Anolis sagrei: one gene and its partners. The protein of the gene in region 1 purifies or fractionates together with the protein of each later gene. This does not show direct contact. Links are inferred from orthologs where the notes say so. Each region holds a gene or a part of one and is shown in the gene's direction. Other genes may lie near its edges. The genes, in order: CD9, IGSF8 and ITGA6.

Region 1 (7,235 bases):
AGGTATGAATGTTTCAATTGGCCACCTTGATTGCCATTTCATAGCCTGACAGTTTTTAGGGAGAATCCTTTGTTGAGAGGTGATTAGCTGGCCCTGATTGTTTCTTGTCTGGAGTTCCCCTGTGTTTGAGTATTGTTATTTATTTACAGTTATAATTTTAGATTTTGTTCAGACTGGAAATAGGAAGATTTCCCATTCTCTTCTCCTGGAATTGCTGTCTAAAGAGGGCTAGAAAGAACCCCCTCTAAGGGTCCTTCCACACAGCAAAATAAGATATGTGCAATGTGCATAGGAATTTTTTAATTGATTTTTTTTAAAAAACTATAGTCCGGCCCTCCATCGGTCTGAGGGACAGTAAACTGGCCCCCGGTTTAAAAAGTTTGAGGACCCCTGCCCTAGATGGTCCAAGTTTAGGTATTTGACTGACCACATCTCCTTGTGTGAACCTGCCCAGTCCTTGAGATCTTCAGGAGAGGCCCTTCTCTTGGTCCTACCTCCATCTCAAGCACAGTCGGTGGGAACGAGAGAGCAGGCCTTTTTTCTCAGTGGCTGTCCTTCAACTCTGGAACCCCTGCCCAGGGAAGCCAAAATGGCCCCTTCTCTTCTGTTCCTTCCAGCGGCAGACTAAAACCTTTTTATTCAGGCAGGCTTTTAAATATGAAGGTGTTTAAGGCAGGGGGTGCTGTGGATTTATATGCTTTTATGGTTTTAACTTCAATTGGTTTTAATATGAATTATGCTTAATATTATTTTCATATTTGTATATTGTATATTTTAAGTTGTATCGTAATACTTTTAATTGTGAGCCACTTTGAGTCTCCATATGAAGAGAAAAGGTAAGATATAAGTAAACATAACATGCTGCCTAAAAAACTCACAGCAACCCGGCATTATTTTCATTAAGGAAAATTACAAACTCAGGGCCTAGAGACTGGTGGAAATAATAGTACTCCCCTCAGCCACAGAAAATGAAGTTTCTGGAGTATAACAACTACTTTCAAAGTAAGTACCGCACAATTTAACAAGAAATAACACTTTCAAAGCAGGTGAAAGCTTCTCTGGGACCAAAGGGAAAAGCAGTCTTTCTGGAGCCCAGCAAACAGTCCCAGTGTAAGTGGGAGGGGAGGGGAAAGAGAGAGAGGGAAGAAGAGGGAAAGAGAGGAAAAAAGAGAGGGGGAGAAGGGGAGAGACAGAAGAGTGAGTGAGGGGGAGGGGGTCAGAGAGAGAGAACAGAGGGAGGGAGGGAGGAGAGAGAAAAGGAGGGGGAGAGAGATGAGAGAGGAAGAGAGGGAGGGGTGAGAGAGAGGGGGAGGGAAGGAAGGAAGGGGAGAGTGAGGAGGGGAGAGGGAAGAAGAAGGGGAGAGGGAAGGGTGAGAGAGGGAGGGGTAGAGGGAAGAAAGAAGAGAAGGAAGGGGAGAGAGAAGAAGAGAGGGGGAGAGTGAGGTGCTAGAGAGAGGAGGGGAGTGGAAGAAGAGAGAGGGGGAGATGGAGAAAGAAGGGAGAGGGAGGGGTGAGAGAAGGAAGGGTAGAGGGAAGAAAGAAGAGAAGGAAGGGGAGGGAGAAGAAGAGAGAGGGAGAGTGAGAGAGGAGGGAGGGAGGGGGAGTGGAAGAAGAGAGAGAGGGAGAGAGAAAAAGAGAGGGGGGTGAGGGGCCAGAGAGGAGGGAAGAAGGGAGAGGGAGGGGGAGAGAGGGGGGAATGGGAAAAGAGAGGGAGGGAGATAAAGAAGGGGAGAGGGAGGGGGAGAGAGAGGGGGGAGTAGGAAAGAGAGAGAGAGAGATAGCAGGGGGAGAGAAGAGAGGGAGGGGGGAGAGACAGAAGAGAGGTGGAGTGAGAGGGTCAGGGAGAAAGAGAGAATAGAGAGGGGAGAGGGAAGTGGGAGGGATGGGAAAAGGGAGAGAGAGGGAGGGAGGGGAGAGAAAAGGAGGGGAGAGGGAAGAGAGTGGGAGAGAGTAAAGGGCCAGAGAGATGAGGGAGTAAGGGGCGAGAGAGAGGAGGGAGCGAAGGAGGGGGAGAGGGAGGAGGGGAGAGGGAGGGAGAAAGGGACAAAGAAGGGGAGAGGGAGGGGTAGAGGGAAGAAAGAAGAGAAGGAAGGGGAGATAGAAGAAGAGAGGGGGAGAGTGAGGTCCCAGAGAGGAGGGAGGGGGTGAGAGAGAGGGAAGAAGAGAGAGACATGGAGAAAAAAGGGGAGAGGGAGGGGGTGAGAGGGGGGTAGAGGGAAGAAAGAAGAGAAGGAAGGGGGAGAGAAAAAGGGGCAGAGAGAGAGGGGAAGAAGGGAGAGGGAGGGGGGAGAGAGGGGGGAGTGGGAAAAGAGAGGGAGGGAGTTAAAGAAGGGGAGAGAGGGGGGAGAGGGGGAGTGGGCAAAGAGAGAGAGGGAGATAGAAGGGGAGAGGGAGGGGGAGAGAAGAGAGGGGGAAGACAGAAGAGAGAGGGAGGGAGGGGGTCAGGGAGAAAGAGAAAATAGGGGGAGAGGGAGGGGAGGGAGGGATGGGAAAAGTGAGAGAGAGGGAGGGGAGAGAGAGAAGAGAGGGAGGGGAGAGAAGAGAGGGAGGGAGAATAAAGGGCCAGAGAGATAGAGGGGGAGAAGAGAGGGGGGGAGAGGCAGAAAGAAGGAGAGAGAGAAGAAGAGAGGGGGAGAGAAGAGAGGGAGGTGTAGAGGGAAGAAAGAAGAGAAGGAAGGGGGGAGAGGGGAAGAGTGAGGAGGAGGAGAGGAAGAAAGAAGAGAGGGAAGAGTGGGGAGAGAACAGAGAGAGAGGGAGAGATGAGGGAAGGGCGAGAGCGGGGCCCGCAGGCCTGGCGTGACGCCGGCGAGGGCGGGCGGAGGAGCCCAGGGAGCGGCCCTGGGGGCCGGGGTGGAGCCCGCGACGAGCCGGTCTGAGGAGTGGCCCTAGGGAGCGCCTTTCCCTGCCGGGGCTGCTCAGACGCGCCTCCCGCCTCGCCACGCAGAGAAGCACCGCCGCTCCCGCTGCCTTCGAGTCGCCGCCATGCCCGTCAAGGGGGGCACCAAGTGCATCAAGTACCTGCTCTTCGGCTTCAACTTCGTCTTCTGGGTGAGTCCCCAGCACTGAGAGCAGGCTCGCCTCAGCCGCCGCTCACCTGGGCAAAGAAACTCTCCCCTCCCCTCCCCCGCCCGGTCGAAAACCGAGCGCGAGCCCCTTCTCCGAACCCTTCCGAAGCGTTCCGAGTGAGGCTTTTTTTCCCCTCCTTTCCGAAGAGGCATTTGCTAGGGAACTCTAAATGCAGAAGGAACTTTAGCGCGCGCGCTCTCCACCGAGTAGAAGCCGCCCTGGTTGGCTTCTTTGAGGCAAAAAAAGCAAGAAAGCCCCGGATGGTGGGCACGCGGACCCCCCCCCCCCTTCTTCTCCCTTCCCAACCTCCCAGGTGCCTGGCTCCTTGGAAGGTGAAGCCACAGTAGTGCGTTCCCATCAAAATACTGTAATACTCCAATAATAATAGTTGGTAGAGACCCCATGGGCCATCTAATCCAACTCCTTGCCATGCAGGATAAGCACAAAGTACTCCTGACAGATGGCCATCCAGCCTCTTTAAAAAAAAAAAAAACCTCTAAAATCAGGACAGTAAATAAAGAGCAACACTCCAAAAGCAGGGGAATTCCAGACAAGAATCAATCATAGCCAGCTAACACCTCCCAATAAAGGATTCCACCAAGCAGCAACCAGCCAGGCTTTGAAGCTGCAATGCCATTAAAAGTAGTCAGTTACAACATTCACACCTGCCTCAAACAGACAAGCGTTCTTTCTCCCACTCTGGATATTCCACAGATATATAAACACAGATATGGAGCCCCCAAGATGCAGTGGGTTAAAGCGCTGAGCTTGTTGACTGAAAGGTCGCAGGTTCGAATCTGGGGAGCGGCGTGAGCTTCCGCTGTCAGCCCCGGCTTCTGCCAACCTAGCAGTTCGAAAACATGCAAATGTGAGTAGATCAATAGGTACTGCTCCAGCGGGAAGGTAACAGCGTTCCATGCAGTCATGCCGGCCACATGACCTTGGAGGTGTCTATGGACAACGCTGGCTCTTCAGCTTAGAATGGAGATGAGCACCACACATGAGCTTCCACTGTCAGCCCTAGCTTCTGCCAACCTAGCAGTTCGGAAACATGCAAATGTGAGTAGATCAATAGGTACCACTCCGGCGGGAAGGTAACGGCATTCCATGCAGTCATGCCAGCCACATGACCTTGGAGGTGTCTACAGACAACGCTGGCTCTTCAGCTTAGAAATGGAGATGAGCACCACACCCCAGAGTTGGAGACCACTGGACTTCATGTCAGGGGGAAACCTTTACCTTTACTATAAACCCCACTTGCCTAGTTTAGACCTCACAACCTCTGAGGATGCCTGCCATAGATGTAGGTGAAATGTCAGGAAAGAATGTTTCCAGAACATGGCCGTACAGCCCAGAAAACTCACAGTAACTCATCCAGCCTCTGTTTAAAAGCTTCCAAGTAAGGAGCCTCCACTATACTCCGAGGCAGAGAGTTCCACTGTTGAACAGCTTTTCCAGGGCCTTTCCACACAGCCATATAATCCAGACTATCAAGTCAGATAATCCACAATATCTATTTTGCACTGGATTGTCTTTGTCTTATGTTTGTTATAACAGGCTGTGCTTTTTATTTAATTTTAGTTTGTTAAGTTACAATTCGCATTAATATGTTGGGTTGTATAAATTTTGTTATTATGGATGTATTGTTGTTGTATTTAGGCATTGAATGTTTGCCTTTTATGTTTGGAATCTGCCCTGAGTCCCTCTGGGGAGACAGAGCAGAGTATAAATAAAGTTTTGTTATATTACTAGCCATCTCCTGCCACGTGTTGCTGTGGCCCAATCTGGTGATCTCAAAAATAAAGTAATGAGAAAGTGTTGATTTCTAATATATGTAATTTCTTTTTGCTTGTGGGTAAACAGTATTACTTGCTGTTTCTTTGTCAGTGTTGATGTGGAGAGTGTCTGGTTTGCCCACCCTGGAACATGGAACATATTATTGTCCTTTAGGGATCCCTTTCAAATCTATGATATTATATCTGTCATATACATATATATGTGTATGTGTGTGTGAATCAAATATACCTATCTATATCTATGGCTAGATGGTTCTTTGTCAAGAGGGCTTTGATTATGTTTTCTTGTCCTGGTGAAGGGTGTTGGACTGGATGGTCTTAAGGCAGTATATCTCAATTTGGGGGTCACAAGGGGGGTGTTATAGGGATGAGGTCTGTCTACAGTGAAATAGAGTGGGACTGTGACTTTCCTCGGTCTAGACACTATATTCCTGTTGATGTATCCTAGAAGCATATTGGCTTTTTTAGCTGCCACATCTTTCTATTGCAATGTTTCTCAACCTGGGGGTCAGGACCCCTGGAAGGGTTGCGAGGGGGCATCAGAGGGGTCACCAAAGACCATCAGAAAACACAGTATTTTCTGTTGTTCACGGGGGTTCTGTGTGCCAGGTTTGGCCCAATGCTATCGTTGGTGGAGTTCAGAATACTCTTTGATTGTAGGTGAACTATAAATCCCAGTAACTACAACTCCCAAATGTCAAGGTCTATTTTCCCCTAACTCCATCTGTGTTCACATTTGGGCATATGGAGAATTTGTGCCAAGTTTGGTCCAGATCCATCACTGTTTGACTCCACAGTGCTCTCTGGATGTAGGTGAACTACAACTCCCAAACTCAAGGTCAATGCCCACCAAACCCTTGTAGTATTTTCTGTTGGTCATGGGAGTCCTGTGTGCCACGTTTGGTTCAATTCCATCATTGGTGGAGTTCAGAATGCTCTTTGATTGTAGGTGAACTATAAATCCCAGCAACTATAACTCCCAGATGTCAAAATCAGTTTTTTTAGTGATGGTCACTCCTTGGGTTATTAGGTGTCTTGTGTCCAAATTTGGCGGCAATTTGTCCAGCGGTTTTTGAGTTATGTTAGTCCCACAAACAAACATTACATTGTTATTTATATAGATGATGATGATGATGATGATGATGATGATGATGATTATTATTATTATCTGCCATATAGTCCAATTCAATGCCACCTTCTGGACACCTTCCAGCTTGTCTATATCTCTTTTGAACTGTGGTGCCCAGCAGTGGACAGTATTCCAGTTGAGGTCTAACCAAAGCGGAATAGAGAGGGACCATGACTTCCCTCGATCTAGACCCTATACTCCTTTTGATGGATCCCAAAATCCCATTGGCTTTTTTAGCTGCTGCATCACATTGTTGGCTCATGTTTAACCAGTTCTCCATGAAGACTCCCAAGATCTTTGCCGAGTATTAATTTTGGAGTGTTTGTTAAGTGATTTGATTCTCACTTCTTTTTTGTGGCTTGATATATCTGGAGAACATCGATGGAAAATATATTTCTTTATCAGCATCTGGATGATCAGAGGACATGCCACATTTGAATCCTATCACAGAGTACATGGAGATGATCTCATATTGTCCTCACAGTGGCCCATGTATTAAATTTGTGAGAAAATGGCCTTTAAATGTCAAGCAAAAAGTTTCATGACCAAGCTTTATTTCGATCAATAACACTATGTAACACAATGTTTGTTCCTGGGTTATAAATGTCATTTCTGTCATAAAAAAACATGGGAAGAGTGTATTAAACTGCCCAACGTTTGTTCTCGTGGGACATACCGAGGTGATAGTTTTTCAATTATAATATCTTCAAGAGTTGCAACCAATTCAACATAGTTTGTGGCAGTCACAAAACAAAGTTTCAGGAGTAGAATAAATACTTTCAAAGTAAGGATTGTACAATTAAATAGCAAATAACACTTTCAAACCAGGAATAGAAACTGTTTCAATTTTTGTTACATAAAAGTAAAGGTTTCCCCTTGACATTAAGTCTAGTTGTATCCGACTGAGGGGGTGGTGCTCATCTCCATTTCTGTTGTCTGTAGACGCCTCCAAGGTCATGTGGCCGGTATGACTGCATGGAGTGTTGTTACTTTCCAGCCAGAGCGGTACCTATTGATCTACTCACATTTATATATAAAATATAAAAATTTATTTATATACCGCTCTATCTCATCATATTTTATGGTGATGTTGCTTGGTAGGGAGAGATGGGTCTTAAATGCTTATTTGGCTGTCCAAACTCTGTCCTATTCGCATAGAAGAGTTTGCAGGGTGCCCAGGTGGGGGATTAAGGTTCCAGTTGCCAAACACCCCAACAACGGAACATCCAATTCACTATGACAGG
Region 2 (7,235 bases), on another chromosome or scaffold:
TCTCCTTCCTTCCCTCCCTCTTTCCTTCCTTCCCTCTTTTTATTTTCCTTCTTCTTTCCCTTTTTCTTCCTTCATTCTCTACCTGTTACTTACCTCCCTTCCTTTGCTCTTTGGTTCCTTCCTTCTCTCTTTCCTTCCTTCCCTCCTTCCCTCTCTCTTTCCTTCTTTCACTTTTTTATTTCCTTCTCTCCTTACCTCCTTCACTACCTTTCTTTCCTTCTTGCCTTCCTTCCTTCTTTCCCTCCTTCTATCCCTCTCTCCTTCCTTCCTTCCTTCCTTCCTTCCTTCCCCCTTTCTGTGTTTTGTGTGTATATATATGCATATATGTGTATATATATTTGTGTATGTGTGTTTGTGTATATGTGTGGTTTTGCGCATGTGTTGTAAGGTTTTTTTTTTGGCTTTTTAAGTCTTTTCTGCTGTGTTTTTCAATTTTTTATGAGTGATGGTCACTTGTTGGCCTGATAGGTGTATTGTGTCCAAATTTGGTGTCAATAGGCTCACCGGTTTTTGAGTTCTGTTAATCCCAAAGATGAATATTACATTTTTATTTATAAAGATAAAAGTAGCCATCCCCTGTCATGCGTTGCTGTGGCCCACTTTGGTAGTCATGGGGGTTCTGTGTGGGAGGCTTGGCCCAATTCTATCGTTGGTGGGGTTCAGAATGCTCTGTGATTGTAGGTGAACTATATCTCTGCAACTACAACTCCCAAATGTCAAGGTTTATTTCCCCAAACTCCACCAGTGTTCACATTTGGACATATTGAGTATTCATGTAGATTTTGGTCCAGATCCATCATTGTTTGAGTCCACAGTGATCTCTGGATGTAGGTGAACTACAACTCCAAAACCAAAGAACACTTCCCACCAAACCCTTCCAGTATTTTCTGCTGGTCATGGGATAACTGTGTGCTAAGTTTGGTTCAATTTCATCATTGGTTGGTGGAGTTCAGAATGCTCTGTGATTCTAGGTGAACTATAAATCCCAGCAACTGCAACTCCCAAATGTCAAGATTATATTTTCCAGTGTTTACATTTGGGCATATTGAGTATTTGTGTAGAGTTTGGTCTAGATCCATCACTGTTTGAGTCTCCAGTGCTCTCTGGATGTAGGTGAACTACAACTCCCAAATTCAAGGTCAATGCCTACCAAACCCTTCTAGTGTTTTCTGTTGGTCATGGGAGTCCTGTGTGCCAAGTTTGGTTCAATGTCATAATTGGTGGAGTTCGGAATGCTCTTTGATTGTAGGTGAACTATAAATCCTAGCAACTACAACTCCCAAATGACAAAATCAAAACTTTTTTGAGTGAAGGATATAGGTTGGGTTGTTAGGTGTATGTTGTCCAAATTTGGTGTCAATTGGCCCACTGGTTTTTGAGTTCTGTGAATACCACAAACGAACATTATATTTTTATTTATATAGATGCATACAACAGCAAACGTTTACTCTGCATACAACAGTAAGCAGTAAACATATTGTGCAGGTACAACCGCACCAGGAGCTCCAATGTTGTTTGCTTTGCATTTGATGTTTGTTGTGGTCCTAAGTTTCAGGGACTCTGCAGATAGGTGGCTTCTTTTGGCTGCAATCATAGGGCAAGCCACCTGTCAATTATAGTTAGGTCTCTTTTTGGGTTTTTGGAGGGAATAGGAGCCTTTTTGGGTTCAGTCCACACAGAGAAGCCTTTCATGCAGGACATAATACCAAGAGCTCCTGTAGAAAGCTTTGTCTTCTACAGCTTGGCCGGGGAGATATACAGCTCACCGCTTGGCCAAGGTTATACAGCCCACAGCTTGGCCGAGGATCATACAGCCTTACAGCTCTTTTGCTGTGGGACTTCAGTCAGCCATCACTGAAACCTGAACTCCTTTTTCCCTGGAAGTCTACAAAGCTCTGCTTGGTAAGCAGGCATGTAGCCGGGGGGGGGGGGGGGGGGGGGGGGACTTGAGGGGCTTCAGCCCCCCCCCCCCGAAATTCTCATGGTGGTTCGCGAAAAGGCCTTGCTGGTGCATTATTTAAACTGTTATGTTTATTCATATCATGATCTGATCACCATACTCAATATATCCCATGTGCATGGGGGTATTGGGGTAATGATACAAAAGGTTTGCTAGGCTAGACCCTCTTTCACTCAGACTCAGCCCCCCCGAAACTCACCCTCCCCGAAATCCCCCTAAAAAAAACTCACACCCCCCCCCCCCCCCCCCCCCCCGAATCGAAATCCTGGCTATGGGCCTGTTGGTAAGGGTAACTCGCGGAAGCCAGAAGCAGTTGGTACCGGGTGTAGGGGCAAAGACAGACTGCCCAGATTAGAAGTTAAGGATTTCCCCATTAGTTAGTATACAGTTTATGAAGATAGCGCCTGTTCCCTGTGGACAAGATTGGAGAGAGAGCCAATAGACTATTAAGAAAGCCTTAAAGTACCTGTTTGTTTTCAATAATAAAGAATTTGTTGAACCTTTAAGCAATCTAAAGACTCTGTTTTAAGGAAATCCAAAGGCCGTTAATCTGAGGCAGCCCCAGCGTCCCGTTGGGCACACGGAATTTATGTCCTGTCTACAGTCTTATGCACAGGCCCAGCGTGCAACAGCACACATATACTACGTATACAACAGTTCTTGTATACTGTACATACAAGAACAGGAAACATACTATGCATACAACAGTGCGGACTCTGTCTGCTGGTTTTAACTTCTTCACTGTTCGACACCCAAAAGATGTCCCTAATATACCCTTCGACTATTAGTAGCATTCTTCTAATTTGAAAAAAAACCAATAGTCAAAATGTGTTTCTATCTTTGGTACAAAAAGGCCACAAATGAGTTCTGAGCATGCACAGAGTCACTGCAGGAAGGGAAGAGGAGGGAGGGTCTTTTCCATGAGCCACTCACTCACCCATCCCTCCCTTGTCTCCTCCTCTCCACATCTGGCGGGGGCGTGGCGAGCGAGAAGGCGGGCAAGCCAGCCAAGAAGCCCCCTTCACCCCCTTATCTCTTGAACAAGGGGGCAGCCAGAAGGCCAGGGCGAGGGGAAACCTCATTTTGGGGAGGGGGTCAAAGGTTGGCTCAGATCCGGGCGCCAAAGAGGAACAAGAGGGAGAGGAACTGCAGCAGCAACAGCATCCATGCGCCCTGCCCACTCGCTCCCACCTTTCTGTTCCTCTCTTGCAATGGATGCTCCTCGCAAGACCCCCCCGTGGCTGATCCACGTCTTTTTCCTTCTGGTCGGTGAGTCCAATGATGTGGGGGGAGGCGGCAAAGGAAGGATTCTTTCATTGGAGTGTGTTTTTGGGGGGAGATCTTCCCTCGTTTTGAGATGCGCCCAAAGGCGCAAAGGCGCACAAGACAACGCCTTGGAGACGGTTGGGGGGACCCTCTTTGCAAGAGAGCCATTCAAAATCGGGGGGCTCTTGGATCAAGTGGGGAGCCGTGTTTCATAGCTAATCCCTTGCTCTCCCTTCCCCCCTTAATCCTTTCCTCTCACGTTCCTGCTTTCCTTTCTCTTTTTCCCTTTGAAAAACGTCTCCAAAAAGAAGCAATTCCTGCAAAAAGGGAGGTGGAGAGATGGAGTCTTTGGGTGGGGTTTATGCTTGAGCAATTGGGTTTGACAGATAGACTCTAAGAAGTGAGATAGCTGGGGACTGGGGAAATCCAAGACTGATTCATTGGGTTGTTGTGGCCATGTTCCAGAAGCATTCTCTCCTGACGTTTCACCCACATCTATGGCAGGCATCCTCAGAGGTTGTGAGGCCTGTTGGAAACTAGGCAAGTGGGGTTTATATATCTGTGGAATGATGTCCAGTGTGGGAGAAATACTCCTGTCTGGATTGCTGTGAGTTTTCCAGCCTGTATGGCCATGTTCCAGAAGCATTCTCTCCTGACGTTTCACCCACATCTACGGCAGGCATTCTCAGAGGTTGTGAGGCCTGTTGGAAACTAGGCAAGTGGGGTTTATATATCTGTGGAATGATGTCCAGTGTGGGAGAAACACTCCTGTCTGGATTGCTGTGAGTTTTCCAGCCTGTATGGCCATGTTCCAGAAGCATTCTCTCCTGATGTTTCACCCACATCTATGACAGGCACCCTCACAGGTTGTGAGATCTGTTGGAAACTAGTCAAGTGGTGTTTATATGTCTGTGGAATAATGCCCGGGTGGGAGAAAGAAGTCTTGTCTGTTGGAGGCAGGTATAATTGTTGCAGTAGGGCAGCTTGATTAGCATTCCATAGCCTTGCAACTTCAAAGCCTGGCTGCTTCCTGCCTGGGGGAATCCTTGGTTGGGAGGTGATTAGCTGGCCCTGATAGTTTCTTGTCTGGAATTCTCCTGTTTTTGAGTGTGGTTCTTTATTTACTGTCTGGGCTTTAGAAGTTTTTTAAATAATGTAAATAATGTAAATAATGTAATACAATATAATACAATATAATACTACAATATAATACTACTAATAATACAATATAGCAATATAATAATCATATATTACATAATACATGTAATATTGATAATAATATTGCAGTATAGTGGTATAGTACAATATAGTAATATATAATAATAATATTGTGCTATGTGTTGTTGTTGTCCATTCGTTCAGTCGTTTCAGACTCTTTGTGACCTCATGGACCAGCCCATGACAGAGCTCCCTGTCGGCCGTCACTACCCCCAGCTCCTTCAAGGTCAATCCAGTCACTTCAAGGACTTGGTCGGCCCCTCTTCCTTTTTCCTTCAATTTCCCCCAGCTTCATTGTCTTCTCTAAGCTTTCCTGTCTTCTCATGATATGGCCAAAGTACTTCATCTTGGCCTCTACTATCCTTCCCTCCAATGAGCAGTCTGGCTTTATTTCCTGAAGTATGGACTGGTTGGATCTTCTTGCAGTCCAAGGCACTCTCAGCACTTTCCTCCAACACCACAGTTCAAAAGCATCTATCTTCCCTATGGTCCAGCTCTCACATCTGTAGGTCACTATGGAGAATACCATTGCTTTGACTATGCGGATCTTCGTTGCCAGTGTGATGTCTCTACTCTTCACTATTTTATCGAGATTGGCCCTTGCTTTCCTCCCAAGAAGGAAGCGTCTCCTAATTTCCTGGCCGCAGTCTGCGTCTGCAGTAATCTTTACACCTAGAAATACAAAGTCTGTCTCTACCTCCATGTTTTCTCCCTCTATTTCCCAGTTGTCAATCATTCTTTTTGTGCTATGCTAATAATATAATAAAGTGTAGGTAAAGATAAAGGTTTTCCCCTGACATTAAGTCGAGTCGTGACCAACTCTAGAAAGGAGATTCCATCTGAACATGAGGAAGAACTTCCTGACTGTGAGAGCCGTTCAGCAGTGGAACTCTCTGCCCCGGCGTGTGGTGGAGGCTCCTTCTTTGGAAGCTTTTAAACAGAGGCTGGATGGCCATCTGTCAGGGGTGATTTGAATGCAATATTCCTCTTCTTGGCAGATTGGGGTTGGACTGAATGGCCCATGAGGTCTCTTCCAACTCTTTGATTCTATGATTCTGTGGTGCTCATTTCTAAGCCGAAGAGCCAGTGTTGTCCATAGACACCTCCAAGGTCATGTGGCCAGCATGATTGCATGGCGTGCCGTTATACTGTATGTACATATAACTTGTCAGCCGCTCTGAGTCCCCTTCAGGGTGAGAGAGGGTGGGGTATAAATGTCATTCAATAAATAAATAAATTTTGTTCATTTTCATGGTTTCCTCCTTTCTGTTGAAATTGTCCACATGCTTGTGGATTTCAGTGGCTTCTCTGTGTAGTCTGACATGGTGGTTGTTAGAGTGCTCCGGAATTTATGTGTTCTCAAATAAAACTCTGTGTCCAGGTTGGTTCACCAAAAACGGGAATTCCAGACAAGAAACAATCAGGTCAGCTAATCACCTCCCAACAAAGGATTCGCTCTGGCCGGAAGCAGTCAAGCCTTGAAGCTGCCAGGCTATTCAGTGCTAATCAAGGTGGTCCCAATGGCAACATTCACATTTGCCTCAAGCAAAGAAGAGTTCTTTCTCTCACCCTGGACATCATTCCACAGATATATAAACGGCACTTGCCTATTCCAACAGGCCTCACAACCTCTGAGGATGCCTGCCATAGATGTGAGCGAAACGTCAGGAGAGAATCATAGAGTCAAAGAGTTGGAAGAGACCTCAAGGGCCATCCAGTCCAACCCCCTGCCAAGAAGCAGGAATATTGCATTCAAAGCACCCCCGACAGATGGCCATCCAGCCTCTGTTTAAAAGCTTCCACAGAAGGAGCCTCCACCACACTCCGGGGCAGAGAGTTCCACTGCTTAACAGCTCTCACAGTCAGGAATTTCTTCCTCATGTTCAGATGGAATCTCCTCTCTTGTAGTTTGAAGCCATTGTTCCGCGTCCTAGTCTCCATGGAAGCAGAAAATAAGCTTGCTCCCTCCTCCCTGTGGCTTCCTCTCACATATTTATACATGGCTATCATATCCCCTCTCATCCTTCTCTTCTTCAGGCTAAACATGCTCAGCTCCTTAAGCCGCTCCTCATAGGGCTTGTTCTCCAGACCCTTGATCATTTGAGTCGCCCTCCTCTGGACACATTCCAGCTTGTCAATATCTCTCTTGAATTGTGGTGCCCAGAATTGGACACAATATTCCAGGTATGGTCTAACCAAGGCAGAATACAGCATGGGGAGCATTACTTCCCTAGATCTAGACACTATGCTCCTATTGATGCAGGCCAAAATCCCATTGGCCTTTTTTGCCACCACGTCACATTGTTGGCTCATGTTTAACTTGTTGTCACGAGAACACCAAGATCTTTTTCTGCTCTCGAGCCAGGCATTGTCCCCCATTCTGTATCGTTTTTTCTGCCTAAGTGGAGTATCTTGCATGTGTCCCTGTTGAACTTCATTTTGTTAGTTTTGGCCCATCTCTCTAATCTGTCAAGATCATTTTGAATTCTGCTCCTGTCCTCTGGAGTCTTGGCTCTCCCTCCCAATTTGGTGTCATCTGCAAACTTGATGATCCTGCCTTCTAGCCCTTCATCTAAGTCATTAATAAAGATCCTGAACAGGACCGGGCCCCGGATGGAACCCTGCGGCACTCCACTCGTCACTTCTTTCCAGGATGAAGAGGAAGCCTTGGGGAGAATCACCTCTGGGTTCGTCCATTTAATCAATTACAGACCCTCCTCAGATCCAAGATCTTTTTCAAACACGCTTGGCGGGGATGAGGGACAGGTCCTTCTCGGTGGTGTCCCCCCGC
Region 3 (7,235 bases), on another chromosome or scaffold:
TTGTTATGCAGAGCAACATATATATAGTCATGTGAACAGTTACATTGACTCACACAATGTCCTTTGAGAGAGATTCAAATGGTCTTTAGGTGTCCATATGAAGGATCATCTTCTAGCAGCCCAGAAGCAGAAAATATTAACTGCCTTGGTAAGCTCTTGCACAGAAAACCTTAAAATGTAACTGTTGCCTAAACTCCCAGACTCAGCTAATTTCTTGGGTGTAGCCCAACCAATTAACTTTCTCAGTTAACACACTCACTAACTGATTTTACATGCTCCAGCAATACATATGGAACTACACTTTAAAATGTATCTGTTCTGACTTACATACAAATTCAACTTAAGAGCATAAGGACTGTCTTTATTCAACTATTCAGAATATTAAAACAATGAAGAACGTGCAATTAAAAGAACAATAAAGTAATATGGAATAGTTCCATTAGATCAATACAACACCTTAAAAACTTTGAAAAAGACATATTACACTGGGAAACACAGGATGCCAAGTTGGAGAAAACTGCCTTAGGCATTTGCAGCAGAAAAGGTCAACACAACACCGATATACCTATTAGCAAAGGATGTGGAACCACTCAGAGTTTCATGTTGGCTTTGGGTTTTTGGCTTGAGCGAGCACAAGGAGCTCATTCATGAGACATGTTGTGGCCTAGCTCTCATTAACAGCCAATGCGTTGTACAGATTGGGGATTCGAAGGGCAGCCAAGGATGGGAAAATCCCAGTTCAAATTACTGCTCAGCCTTGAAGCTCAATGTGTGACCATGGGAGAGCTGCTGTCTTTGAAATAGCCTTTCATGATTATTGTGAAGGCAAAAGGGGACTGAAACTGTGTATGGTAAGAAATAAACACACATATGAGAGAATCCCCATATCCAAGTATTCAACCTTCCACGTCTAGTAAATATTCACACACACATACACTTCAATTTTGCTATTTTATAGAAGGGAACCCAATTTTACTATTCCAGCATTTCTCAACCTGGGGGTAGGGACGCCTGGGTGAGTGGGGAGGGGATGTCAGAGGGGTTGATAAAGACCATCAGAAAACATGGTATTTTCTGTTGTTCATGGGGGTTCTGTGTGGGAAGTTTGGCCCAATTCTATCATTGGTGGGGTTCAGGATGCTCTTTGGTTGTAGGTGAACTATAAATCCCAGCAACTACAACTCTTAAATGTCAAGGTCTATTTTCCCCAAACTCCACCAGTGTTCATATTTGGGCATATTGAGTATCTGTGCCTAGTTTGGTCCAGATCCATGATTGTTTGAGTCCACAGTGCTCTCTGGATATAGGTGAACTACAACTCCCAAACTCAAGGTCAATGCCCACCAAACCCTTCCAGTATTTTCTGTTGGTCATGGGAGTTCTGTGTGCCAAGTTTGGTTCAATTCCATCATTGGTGGAGTTCAAAATGCTCTTTGATTGTAGGTGAACTATGAATCCCAGCAACTACAACTCCCAAATGACAAAATCAATCCCCACCCCCACCCCATCACTATTCAAATTTGGGCGCATCAGGTATGTGTGCCAAATTTGGTCCAGTGAATTAAAATACACCCTGCAATCAGATATTTTACCTTACGATTCATAACAGTAGTAAAATTAGTTATGAAGTAGCAACGTAAATAATGTTATGGTTGGGGGTGACCACAACATGAGGAACTGTATTAAGAGGTTGTGGCATTAGGGAGGTTGAGAACCACTGAACTATGTCATTGCATATAATGACTTGAGTATACATAAATTTTGGCATACTGGAACCGTATCCCAGTGGATAAGATTTTCAACTCCAACAAGTTCCTCTAAAGCAGCTTACAAAGAAAGAATAACACTGAATAAAACATAAAAATCAACACTAGATTAAAACTATATATTAAAAGCATTAGAATTAAAACCTATTTTAAGGATCATGCCATCCCAAGCAGAAAAATAATATTTTCATGGTTCACTTCACATGCAATGAAGGGTGAAGCTAGTCTTCGCCTCAGTGGGATGGAATTCCACAACTCCCACAGAAAAGGCCCGTCCTTCTCTTCCTGTCAATCAACCCTCTTTGGGTGAAGGGACATAAAAGGAGGGGGTTGGAGAGACAGTGGTTTCCAAATAGTCAAAAGGCTGCCACATAGAGGAGTTAATGGACTTATTCTTTGGTACCACCGTGAGTTCAGTTCTTTGAGCCAGGATGCAGCCAGGCTTTGAAGCTGCAAGGCTATTCAATGCTAATCAAGGTGATTAATTGCAACATTCACACTTGCCTCAAAGAGACAAGAGTTGTTTCCGCCCCCCCCCCCGCCCCCCCCCCGGACATTATTCCACAGATATATGAATCCCACTTGCCTAGTTTCCAACAGACCTGACATCCTCTGAGGATGCTTGCCATAGATGTGGGCGAAACGTCAGGAGAGAATCCTTCTGGAACATGGCCACGCAGCCCGGAAAACTCATATACTTTTTTCCCACCCTGGACATTATTCCACATGCATATAAACCCCACTTGCCTAGTTTCAAACAGACCTGACAACCTCTGAGGATGTCTGTCATAGATGTGGGCGAAACGTCAGAAGAGAATGCTTCTGGGTCATGGCTACGCAGCCTGGAAAACTCATATACTTTTCTCCCACCCTGGACATTATTCCACATGCATATAAACCCCGCTTGCCTAGTTTCAAACAGACCTGACAACCTCTGAGGATGCCTGCCATAGATGTGGGCGAAACGTCAGGAGAGAATGCTTCTGGAACATGGCCACGCAGCCCGGAAAAGTCATACATATACTTTTCTCCCACCCTGGACATTATTCCACATGCATATGAATCCCACTTGCCTAGTTCCCAACAGACCTCACAACCTCAGAAGATGTTTGCCACAGATGTGGGCGAAACGTCAGGAGATAATGCTTCTGGGAAATGGCCAGACAGCCCGGAAAAGTCACAGCAACCCAAAATGTATTATTATGATTATGATATTATGATCATAGTGTGGTTGATTCCCGTCCACACGGGAGCTGCCAAGTAGATTTTGCTTTCCCACCTGAAACCCCCAACAAGCCCTGGGATCCGTCCCTGGAGGAGCGCCGACCGCGCAGTGGATCCGCCTGACTCTCGTGGGTCTGCTCCAGAGTGCGAGGCGAGGTTGGGGGCGAGGTTTCAAGGGGGCGGCGCCTGTTTGTGGGGGCGGAGCTCGGCCCCTCCTTCGTCACTGGGAGCGAGTCTCTGGAGAGAACAAGGGGCTCATTCAGAGGGAGGGAGGGAGAGAGGGAGGCAGCCGTGAGCCCGGGGCCTCTTCTTCTTCTTCTTCTCCTCCGCGGGACTCCGGCCCTTCCAGGGACCCTTAAGCATGCTGCCTCGGCCGCCGCCCGCCTTGTACCTGTCCCTCCTCCCGGGGCTGGCGCTCGCCTTCAACCTGGACGTCGGCAATGTGGTCTTGTGGAGCGGCGAGCCCGGAAGCCTCTTCGGCTTCTCCCTGGCCATGCACCGGCAGCTGGAGCCGCAGGAGAGGAGGCTGTGAGTAGGAGCACCAGAGTGTACACATAGATAGAGAGGTCTCTGCCTTTGCATACCTCTAGAGGCTGCTTGGCTGGACTTCACTCCTGCCCAACTCAGACCTGAGTGCCCAGGTTGGCGTGGATGGCGGTGGCCATTGGGAGCTCCCAGGACCTTGTACATCAAGGCAGGAAACCCCACATTAGTGTGGACTCAGATAACCCAGTTCAAAGCAGATCTTGTGGGATTTTCTGCCTTGATATCCTGGGATATAGGGCTGTGTGGAAGGGTCAGTTCAAAGCAGATATTGGATTTTCTGCCTTGATGTTCTGGGTTATATGGCTGTGTGGAAAGGCCCGCAGATAACCCAGTTCCAGGCTGATCTTGTGGGATTATCTGCCTTGATATCCTGGGATATATGGCTGTGTGGAAGGACCCTCGGATAATCCAGTTCCAAGCAGATATTGGGGGATTTTCTGCCTTGATCTTCTGGGTTATATGGCTGTGTGGAAGGACCCTCAGTTAACCCAGTTCCAGGCTGATCTTCTGGGATTTTCTGCCTTGATATCCTAGGATATAGGGCTGTGTGGAAGGGCCCTGAGTCTCACCTGATCCTTTTTAGGCTGGACCCACTCTAACCACGAGTTTTCCCCTATATTTAGAACCAGTCCCACCAAGGCGTTGCAATTTGGGAGCTTTTTTGGACTTCTAAAAGCAGATCAGGCTGGCATTTTTGAAGGGATCGTCTTGTTCTTTCCCTGCAGGGAAAAGGGTTGGACTGGATGGCCTTTGGGGGCTCTCTGTGAGTGTAGGATTGGAAACTTGGGCTCCAAACTCTTTTGGCTTTTGAGTCGCGCCTTTTCCATCTCTGGGAAGGGAGGTGTGGAAGGAGGGAAGGGGAGAGGCTGGACCCACTTCCGCCGGAGTGGGGCCTTGATCCCTACCTTCCAACGCCGGTGGCACACTGGGTTAAACCCTTGTGCCGGCAGGACTGAAGATCGACAGGTCGCAGGTTCCAATCCGGGGAGAGCGCGGATGAGCTCCCTCTGTCAGCTCCAGCTCCCCACGCGGGGACTTGAGAGAAGCCTCCCACAAGGAGGGTAAAACATCAAAACATCCGGGCGTCCCCTGGGCAGCGTCCTTGCAGACGGCCAATTCTCTCACACCAAAAGCGACTTGCAGTTTCTCAAGTCGCTCCTGACAAGGGGAAAAAAACAAAACCCTGGAAGTCGTGCTTAAGTGTTTGGCTGCGTCTGTTTTATTTGAACTGAAACCTCGGAGAAGCCACCTGTTTGCAAGCGCATGCTCAGATCTGAGGAGAAAAAAACAACAACAACAGATGAGGAATGGAGGCAAAATCATGGGACTGATCAAGCATTGAGAGCTATGACCCTAGTATCTACGCTTTCCATTTAGAGCAGTTTCAACCCGGTATTCGAGGCTCGGTTGGTAATTCCACAGAGCTCTTTTCCCTCCTTTCCCGCGCTTTGTGAGGAATGTGTTGTCTGGTTACTAACTAACGTCGAGCAAAAGGTTTTGCAACATCTACAACAGGTAGGGGCAAACTTCGGCCATCCTGGTGTTTTGGACTTCAACTCCCACAATAAGGAATTGTGGGAGTTGAAGTCCAAAACACCAGGAGGGCCGAAGTTTGCCCCTACCTGTTGTAGATGTTGCAAAAACGTTTGTTTTCCGGAAGTGCTACCTGATTTCACACAGCGCCATATTAAAAGAAACAAGATTCCGAAGCAGATTCAAAACACAACAAAACAGCCCAGCCCAATAGGCTTGGCATCCTTAACCAAGAATGTGAAGGCTTCAGGGTGTGTGTGTGTGTTGGGTGTGTGTTGTGTGGGCAGAGCAACACAAGCAGCCTCCCCTGAAGGGAAGGCGAGCCTCGCAGGTCAGCTCAGCAACCCAGCGCCAAAAGGCGGGCCCAAAACAAGCCAATGAGGTGGTTGTCCTGGGAGGAAAAGCAACTTGAAAAGACAGGATGCCAAGGTGGAAAGGCTCTGGTGGAATGTGCCTGCTTTGAAGATTTTTTTCAGTGTCAGGATCAACTTGAGAAACTGCAAGTCACTTTTGGCGTGAGAGAATTGGCAGTCTGCAAGGACATTGCCCAGGGAATGCCCAGATGTTTTGATGTTTTACCATCCTTGTGGGAGGCTTCTCTCATCTCCCCGCATGTGGAGCTGGAGCTGACAGAGGGAGCTCAACCCACTCTCCTCGGATTGGAACCTTCGTTTTGTTGGTCAGCAGCCCTGCAGGCACAAGGGTTTAACCCACTGCGTCACCACTTTTTTTGGTCGTGTCAGAAGCAATTTGAGAAACTGCAAGTGTGTGAGAGAATTGGCCATCTGCAAGGACAGAGGACGCCCGGATGATTTGATGTTTTAATCATCCTTGTGGGAGGCTTCTCTCATGTCCCCGCATGAGGAGCTGGAGCTGATAGAGGGAGCTCATCCGCCTCTCCCCAGATTCGAACCTGCGACCTGTCGGTCTTCAGTCCTGCCGGCACAGGGGTTTAACCACTGTGCCACCACTGAGAGCAGAAGATGAAACACAGTGGGAGGAGAAGGAGGAAGCCTTTCCTTCTCTGTGGTGTCTTCAGATATGGTTCTCTTGAGCGACCAGGAGACTTTTGACTTCAGTTTCTTTTCATCATGTTGCTGGTTTATGCACTTCATTTCAGGGAGGGAGTTTTAAAGGTGTTGTAGCATAAATTATCCTGAGGAATCTGTATATGGACCAAGAAGCAACAGTAAGAACAGACCAGGGAACAACAGACTGGTTCAAGATTGGGAAAGGAGTACAGCAGGGCTGCATACTCTCACCCAACCTATTCAACTTGTATGCAGAACACATCATGCAACGTGCGGGTCTTGACGAATCCATGGCTGGAGTTAAAAATGCTGGAAAAAAACATTAACAACCTGAGATATGCAGATGATACCACTTTGATGGCGTTTTTTTTTTGTTGTGTCAGGAGCGACTTGAGAAACTGTTAGTCGCTTCTGGTGTGAGAGAATTGGCTGTCTGCAAGGACATGGCCCAGGGGATGCCTGGATGATTTGATGTTTTTATCATCCATGTGGGAGGCTTCTCTCATGTCCCTGCACGAGGAGCTGGAGCTGACAAAAGGAGCTCATCCGCCTCTCCCCTGTCGGTCTTCAGTCCTGCCAGCTCAGGGGTTTAACCAACTGCACCACCGGGGGCTCCTTGCTTCGATGGCTGAAAGCAAGGAGGAGCTGAGGAGCCTTCTAATCAAGATGAAAGAAGAAAGTACAAAAGCTGGGTTGCAGTTAAACATAAAAAACCAAGATTATGGCAATCAGACTGATTGACAACTGGCAAATAGAGGAAGAAAATGTGGAGGCAGTGAGAGACTTTGTATATCTAGGTGCAAAGATTACTGCAGACGCAGATAAAATAGTGAAGAGTAGAGATATCATACTGGCAATGAAGATCTGCATAGTTAAAGCAGTGGTATTCCCCATAGTAATTATGGATACGAGAGCTGGATCATAAGGAAGGCTGAGCAAAGGAAGATAGATGGTTTTGAACTGTGGTGTTGGAGGAAAATTCAGAGAGTACCTTGGATTGGAAGAAGATCCAACTGGCCCATACTCCAGGAAATAAAGCCCGAGTGCTTATTGGAGGGAAGGATATTAGGGGCAAAAATGAAGTACTTTGGTCACATCATGAGAAGACAGGAAAGCTTGGAGAAGACAATGATGC

Evidence for each region.
Region 2: the proteins of CD9 (region 1) and IGSF8 purify together in Homo sapiens (affinity purification with mass spectrometry; 5 studies listed by BioGRID and IntAct, counting the BioPlex papers as one, with this or other methods). This does not show direct contact. The link is inferred for Anolis sagrei from reciprocal best matches to the Homo sapiens genes CD9 and IGSF8.
Region 3: the proteins of CD9 (region 1) and ITGA6 purify together in Homo sapiens (co-immunoprecipitation; 3 studies listed by BioGRID and IntAct, with this or other methods). This does not show direct contact. The link is inferred for Anolis sagrei from reciprocal best matches to the Homo sapiens genes CD9 and ITGA6.

What each region holds. Positions count from the first base shown.
Region 1 is NC_090025.1:103,251,951-103,259,185, reverse strand, and holds the start of CD9 (CD9 antigen), read left to right. Parts: upstream 1-2,859; 5' UTR 2,860-2,982; coding exon 2,983-3,048; intron 3,049-7,235. UniProt on the Homo sapiens protein: Integral membrane protein associated with integrins, which regulates different processes, such as sperm-egg fusion, platelet activation and aggregation, and cell adhesion.
Region 2 is NC_090032.1:7,677,351-7,684,585, forward strand, and holds the start of IGSF8 (immunoglobulin superfamily member 8), read left to right. Parts: upstream 1-2,920; 5' UTR 2,921-3,126; coding exon 3,127-3,229; intron 3,230-7,235. UniProt on the Homo sapiens protein: Member of the immunoglobulin superfamily (IgSF) that links tetraspanin-enriched microdomains to the actin cytoskeleton and plays several important roles in innate and adaptive immunity.
Region 3 is NC_090021.1:193,437,610-193,444,844, reverse strand, and holds the start of ITGA6 (integrin alpha-6), read left to right. Parts: upstream 1-3,238; 5' UTR 3,239-3,351; coding exon 3,352-3,518; intron 3,519-7,235. UniProt on the Homo sapiens protein: Integrin alpha-6/beta-1 (ITGA6:ITGB1) is a receptor for laminin on platelets. Integrin alpha-6/beta-1 (ITGA6:ITGB1) is present in oocytes and is involved in sperm-egg fusion.